2 linked regions of the Rattus norvegicus genome follow. The protein of the gene in region 1 interacts with the protein of each later gene in a biochemical or structural test. Links are inferred from orthologs where the notes say so. Each region holds a gene or a part of one and is shown on either strand. Other genes may lie near its edges.

Region 1 (3,751 bases):
AACACGTGTACTAGTTATAAACAGTTGCTGCTCTTGCAGAGGACCCAAGTTTCATTCCCAGCACTCGTGTGAGGCAACTTAAAACCACCTTTAACTACAAGTCCAAGGGCTCTGACACATTCCTCGGACCTCTGTGCGTGCACACACAATATTAAACAAAAAAACATAAAAAAAAAAAAAAGAAAGAAAGAACCAAGACCATTCGGGACTGACGTGAAGATACAGAAAAATCCATGGAAGAGAACCGAGTCAAGAAACAAACTCACATGAAGGACAAGTATCCTTCAACAATGGAGCAGACTCTACCTGTGGAGAGGTTCCCCAGCAGCTGTGCTGGGACAACTGGAGAGCCCCATGGAATAGAGAGCAGGAACCCACACTTCACACAGTAATCAATTACTGACCCCAGGAATGAGGCATACACATGCATTCACATGCTTGCAAGCTACCTATACATGCAAAATCAAAACAGATCTTTATAAAACTAGGAAATCAGAACTCAAAGATACAGACAAGCTGTATGCAGCCCTCACAGAGTAAGACTGGAAAGTAAACAGTGACAGCCCTTCTGTGGGCAGGCTGCAAGTGCCTGTACACAGTAAATTCAGCCATTCAACTTGTAGATGGCCACCGAAGAGGTGAGACCATACTGAGGCCTTTGCAGGAGCATTCTCAGAATCACATGTGAGTGACAAATTCTAGAGACAGCCAAAGGTCTGTCAGAAAGGGTAAAAAAGGAAACAGCCCTACAATGGGAACGCTATACAATTGGCAGCAGCCGAGTAATAGAACTCTAGCAATATGGATGGATCTGTGAACGTGGACGCTGTACGCTACGCCGGGGTGTGGCGGCACGTGTCGCCAAGCCTGACAACCTGAGTTCAATCCCTGGAACCTGTGTGGTAGTGAGAGCCAATCTCCATGTATCAATTTCCGACCTACAAATGCATACCATGCCTTGGGTCCACACACAATGAATAAATACATGTTAAAAAAAACTTTCAATAATAAAAATCAGGACACCCCCCCCAAAAAAAAACAGTCCATAGTTGTCTAATGTCATTAATACAAAATTCTAGAAAAGTAACAACCAAACAGTGGTCGAAGGAGAGCAGAGGACTGGTAAGAGAGAGCTGAGAAAACCTTACCAGGAGTGGTGACATCTCCCAGATGTCAAGGTTTATCATGTTGTCTGCCGGATCAGAAGCAACTTATCTCAATAAAGCTGATTTTAAAACTAAATAAAACAAGCTTTTATAGTGATCCAGACTGTATAACCCCAGCACTTACAAGGTTGAGAGGTAACGGGAATGTAAGTTGGAGGCTAACCTGGGCAACACAATGAGAGATTCTCTTTCCACCTCTTACCAAGGTAAAAGGCCACAATGTACTTAATTCTGGAAAACTCAATTTGGTCCATGTTTAGAAAGGGAGACCACCACCCACCTCGTACCACTGCGGTACGTGTTAAGCTGGCTTCTAGTAAGAGCGAAGTCAATGTCAATAATTGAGTCTCTGAAGTTGAAACTCACTAATCCTCCTCCTGATCTCAGCTTCCAATCCTATCCTGTGACGAGCACTTTACTTCCGAGCCTCAGTTTCCACATTCGTAAGACGGGAACGCACTCGTTACCCGAAGGAACAATTCCACGACCAGATACAGTTCCCTTCCCTCCCACCTTTCAAAGCAAAGATCACAGTGGGGTTGGGAACACTCCCAGAGGCTGCAGACAGATTCAGTTTTCCCACTTCTGGCACTTGGGGCGAGGGTGAGGAGGCGAAAAGGGGGCACCTGAAAGGGTCCCGTGTGAAGGCCCCGCGGTGGCCCGGGCGCCTCCCCGAGCGCGCGGGGTTATTTCGGAATCCCCAGGAGGCGACGCTCATGAGGCAATGGGTCAGGAATGCGACGGCCGGCCGGGCCGCGGGTGTCCCCACGGGCATCCCGAGTCGCGGGAGCAGGAACTCGGGGCGGCAGGAAATGAATGGGGACCCGCGGGCGGGGCGGTGGGGCGGCGGGGACGCCGCGCCAGTGGGGAGTCCGAGTGTAACCCCCAGCGGCCGCGCAACACAGAAGCGGCGGGGACCCAGGCCGCGGCCCGGCTCCTGCGGGCGGCTCACCTCCGGGATGTCATGTTCCTCCCGCCTCCGGCTCCGCACGGACCCGCTGCTCACTCAGGCTCCACGAGGCGCCGTCACATGGAGGGGGCCGAGTGAGGCCCCGCTCGGGAGCCGACACGGGAGCGGGCAGAGCCGGCCGGCCGCGCGCACAACCCCTGGCAGGCCTGGATCCCGGACACTGCGCGGCCGCCCCGCCGCCCGGCTCGCTCCGCCCTCGTCCCCGCCCCTTGCCGCCGGCGCCGACGTGAAGTCATCACGCCCGCCGCCACAGCCACTTTCTGCTTCCGGTTTGCAGGGCCCTGACCAGTGCTGGAGGTTGGGGAGGGGGGCCTCCTCCTCCTAATCTGTGCGGTTTACAGACTTGAACGCCAGGGAGATTCTTCATCTGGGACGCCGCACATTAGTGCGAGTACACACTACGCATCCAGTGCGGGTGCACACGTGAAAAGCAAACAAATAAGCGGAGGATGGGGGAACCCGAGTTCGGTTCCCAGCACCTGTATGGGGCAGCCCACAACCTCCTGTAACTTCAGTTCTACCGGATCCGCCATCCTCCGCGGGCACGTGCACATACCCACACATTTATAGATAATGTTTGATGATTTATTCCTTTTGCCTCACAAGGTGGTGTACCCTTTAATCCCAGCACTAGGGAGGCAGAGGCAGGTGGATCACTGTGAGATCGAGGCCAGCCTAGTCTGTATTGGGAGTTCCAGGACAGCTAAGTAGGGAGACCCTGTCAAAAAGAGAAAGAAAAAAAAAAGATTTATTGCTTTTTATATTTTTTTAATGTTAGTGTATTAGTAGTCGCCTTGCGTGTAAGTATGTGTGTAACTGTGTGTGTGTGTCTGATGCCCAAGGAGGTCTGAAGAGGACAACAGTCCCTGATAGAGTTACATGGCAGTGAGCCACCATGTGGGTGCTAGGAGCAAAACCCACGACCTCTGATAAAACAGCGTTCTTTACTGCAGAGCCATCTAACCAGCCTCCCGTTGATTTTTTTTGGGGGGTGGGGAGGGGGAGTTGTTTGTTTTTGAGAACAGAAACCTATATGCCATGGCCATACTTCGACAGCTTGAAGTAAGATGAGCACGGTTTTCTTCTCTTTTTGCCGTTTCACCCATATTGGGATTAGCAATCCTGACAAGTGATTCTTTTTCTTTTTTTTTTTTTTTTGGTTCTTTTTTTTTTTTTTTTTTTTTTTTGGTTCTTTTTTTCGGAGCTGGGGACCGAACCCAGGGCCTTGTGCTTCCTAGGCAAGCGCTCTACCACTGAGCTAAATCCCCAACCCCCGATTCTTTTTCTAAATTAAGAAATTTGACCTTTTCCACTTCAAAGAAACACTCCATAACTTCTCTTTTGAATGTCCAAATTTGTTAGTACCAGTGCACTACTCTGGGGGTTGGGGTGGGGTCTCTGTTAGATAAATGCAGGTTTTCATGAACAGCTGCATCTTAATGAAGTGTAAAATTATAAAACTGATATACTGGGAGCTACATAGATGGAACAGCAGGTAAGATAAACTAGGGGGCTGGAGAGATGGCTCGGCGGTTAAGAGCACTGACTGCTCTTCCAGAGGTCTTGAGTTCAAATCCCAGCAACCACATGGTGGCTCAACCATCTGTAATGGGAT
Region 2 (3,651 bases), on another chromosome or scaffold:
TCTCTCCCTAGTTTGTTTGTTTGTTTTGCTCTTTTGGCTCCTCTTCCTCGTGCCTTTCCCTCCCCACCCCAATCCCCAGCATGGATTTAGGTTGTCCCAAATGCTGGTCAACGTTTCACCCATATTTGTGTCTCTAGTCCTCTTTCATTTTTACACTGAGAGATGGTCTCACCAAATTGCCCAGACTTCCCTTGAACTTGTTCTATAGCCGAGGCTAGCCTTGGACTTTCAATCCCCCTGCCTCAGCATCCTGAGTAAGTGGGATTGTAGGCCTGCACCATCACACCCAGTCATTCCCGTCCCCTACTTATTCTTTCCAATTAATGACATTTATTTATTTGGCTCATGGGGAGAAAAGAATCTCATAGCTGAAGGTTAGTCTTGAATCCCCGGTCCCCCTGCCGGAACCTCACCAGGGCTGGGATTAGTCTGTGCTACCAAACTTATAATTATGAGAGCAGGCACCCCAAAAGGAGGCCAGCTTCTCTAATTCCGGGCTCCTTTTTGCTACATGCAACCTGTCATCACAAAGGAGGGTAGAGAGGGCAGGATTCTGACCCTGCACAGTGACGTATTCACTCCGGATGAATTCTGAGGTCTGCATTTTGATTCCGGACAGGACGCCAGCTTGGCAGCGAAACACTAACAGGTGGTCTTGCTCCTCGATGGGGAATTCTATGAGCACAAAGTTCATGTTGGAGGTCTTCTCTCTACTTAGCTTGACGTTCTTTGTCCCCAGTTCCACTTTTTCAATTTTAAAATATATTGGTGGCTTTTCTTCTTGCATGGAGCAATTGACTGTCACAATCCCACCTTCTGTCACCTCCTTTTTGTCCACGGTCACCTCAGGCATGGGTACACCTTTGGAAAATGAGAAAGTGCAGTTAGGATAAGTTCCTCTTTTTTTTTTTTTAAGATTTATTTATTTTAGTTATATAAGTACACTGTTGCTATCTTGAAGAGGGCATCAGATCCCATTACAGATGGTTGGGAGCCACCATGTGGTTGCTGGGATTTGAACTCAGGACCTCTGGAAGAGCAGTCAGTGCTCTTAACCACTGAGCCATCTCTCCAGCCCAGGATCAGTTCCTCTTAATGGCCCATCTCCCTCATCTGTCACTGTGGCTGAACGATATTAGGACCCTTTAAAGTCAGCCCTACCTACCTCAGGTGATCACTGGGCATCCGTGTGCCTGGCACTGTACGGTATGGTTTAAAAATATAACACAATGGTGTTCTCAAGGATTTGCAATCCCCTTCGGAAAATCCCAGGTGTGGTGATGCACACCTTTCATCCTTGTTCTTAGAAACAGGCAGATCTGAGTTCAAGGCCAGCCTGTTCTACCTGGTGAGCTCCAGGACAACCAGGGCTACGGAGTGAGACTCTGTCTCAAAAGTAAAAAAAAAGCGTCATGAATCTTTCACTGCCCCCCCCCCGTGTGTGTGTGTGTGTGTGTGTGTGTGTGTGTGTGTGTGTGTGTGTGTGCGCGCACGCACCTCCATGTGGAGGTCACAGGCCAATATTGGGCATCTTCCTCAGATAGATCTCTCACTGAACTGAACTTGTATTTCACTAATTCAATCAAGCTGAATGGCCAAAACCCCAAGCATCCTCCTGTCTGTCTGCATCCCCAGTTGTAGGATTGCAGGCATCCCAGGACATGGGTACTGGGGATCTGCACACTCATGTCTTCTGTTAGAATGGAAAGCCTTTTACAGATTGAGCTATCCCTGGCCTCTGTTGTAATTTATTTAATGCCCACTACAAGCCTCAGTCTTCACCCAAAATATAAAAAATAGGCCAGTTGTTGTTCTTTGTTTTGAGACAGGGTTTCTCTGTGTAGCCCTGGCTGCCCTGGGGCCTTGCTTTGTAGACCAGGCTGGCCTCAGACTCACAAAGACCCACCTGCTTCTGCCTCCTGAGTGCTGGGTTTAAAGGCGCGTGTTTTTCAACAACCTCTGCCCATCTGGAAATAGGCCGAATTTAATCTCTGAGATTTTATAGCCCAAAAGAGCAGATGGGTGTTTGGGGAAACATGTTTCATAACAACTAAGACACAGCCTGGGAAATGCTCTGTGGGGTGACGTCATCCCGGGAAGAGAGTAAGTTTACCCAGACTAAGATAGCATAACGTCTCTAGGTTACCTAGTGGCTTGCCCCATGGCCTACTATGGTCTGTATTGTTCACCACTGACTGAAGTCTTTACCTCATGCAGTTGTACACCAATGGGCCAGAAGCTGTTTAAGCACTCCAAATCCCCGACTGACTACTTCACTCCACTCATGAGGATTCCAGAACTTAATGTTCTTGCTACATTTTACTTAATATTTGTTTGGTGTTGTGTGTGGTCCCAAGAGTACTATGGTGTAGGTGTGTAGGTCACAGGACACTCACTATACGAGTCAGTCCTCTCCTTCTACCACGGGGTCCAGGGGATTGAACGCCACTTCTCGGGTTTGACCGCAATAACTTTAACCTCCCAGGTACCTCTGTGGGTCCTGAAGTTTAGAGCGGCTACCGGACTTGTCCAGATGGTGACTCAGGCAGAGAGACTGCAGTCTAGTGGGGTTTCTTCTGTTTTTCCAGACTGGGTTTTTCTGTGTAGCCTGGTTATCCTAGAACTCACTCGGTAGACCAGGTTATCTTGAACTCACAGAGTTCTACCTGCCTCTGCCTTTGGAGTGCTGGGATTAAAGGTGTGCGCCACCGAGGCCTGCCTCATGTGGCACAGCCTGCGGTCTGTCATTGTCACAGAGGGGCATAAACACTGTAAGGGTTGGTGCCTTGGAAGAAATCAACTCTGTTGAGAAAGTGCTAGAAGAAACCCAGTAGCGAGTCATGGAGCCGCTCGCCCTTAACACTAGCGCATGCGCAGGAGACTGAAGCCAGCCCGGGCGGTGGGGAGACTGTTTCAGAGACAGTGTTGGGAGAATAAAGTGTAGTCTGTTAAGGAGGATGGGGAAAGGTGTTCCCAAGGCCCGGACACCATCCCTAAGGAGGATGTTCTGCCCTCACACAGAGGGAGTTTCTAAAGCCTGCAGTTCCAGGTCCTGATGGCAGGTAGTGAGCAGGAAAGGTGGAGAGTAAGGGAGAGGGAAACCAGTGTGACTGGCGTCACCGTGACAGCATGACCGGCTCGCACCGTCCAAGCCTCCGGACTCACCGTTCACCGTCAGCTGGTACTCAATTGTGGTTTTTTCCTTGCTGTTCAGTATCACGGTGCATTTGTACTTCCCGGCGTGGAAGACCCGAGACTGAGGAATGACGAAGCTCTCTGTGTGCTCACTGGAGGAGACGTTGTACACCAGCGCATCGTCCTTATAGAATAGCACCTGGTGCTGAGGCCTAGATTTCGAGGTGGTGCTGATATCGACAAGGCACTGCAGGGTCAGTTTCTGCCCATTCGATACCTCCCAGGAGGGCCGACTTTCCATATGGATGCTGTTAATGGTGAAAGCTGAGGCAAAGCAGAAGGATGGCAGACACCGTTACCTCAGAAACAGCATGGTCTAGAGGGATACAAACCCACGCACACAACACACACACCACACCACACACACATCCACACACCCTACACATATACATACTACACACACGTCCACACACAGCACACACATACACCACACACGTCCACACACATATATAGACA

Evidence for each region. The genes of interacting proteins can lie anywhere in the genome.
Region 2: the proteins of Ptpn11 (region 1) and Pecam1 form a complex in vitro, tested with the Homo sapiens proteins (4 studies listed by BioGRID, with this or other methods). The link is inferred for Rattus norvegicus from reciprocal best matches to the Homo sapiens genes PTPN11 and PECAM1.

Annotation. Positions count from the first base shown.
Region 1 is NC_086030.1:41,024,636-41,028,386, reverse strand, and holds the start of Ptpn11 (tyrosine-protein phosphatase non-receptor type 11), read right to left. Parts: upstream 2,309-3,751; 5' UTR 2,133-2,308; coding exon 2,119-2,132; intron 1-2,118. UniProt on the Homo sapiens protein: Acts downstream of various receptor and cytoplasmic protein tyrosine kinases to participate in the signal transduction from the cell surface to the nucleus. Positively regulates MAPK signal transduction pathway. Dephosphorylates GAB1, ARHGAP35 and EGFR.
Region 2 is NC_086028.1:92,131,238-92,134,888, forward strand, and holds part of Pecam1 (platelet endothelial cell adhesion molecule precursor), read right to left. Parts: intron 3,460-3,651; coding exon 3,166-3,459; intron 862-3,165; coding exon 559-861; intron 1-558. UniProt on the Homo sapiens protein: Cell adhesion molecule which is required for leukocyte transendothelial migration (TEM) under most inflammatory conditions.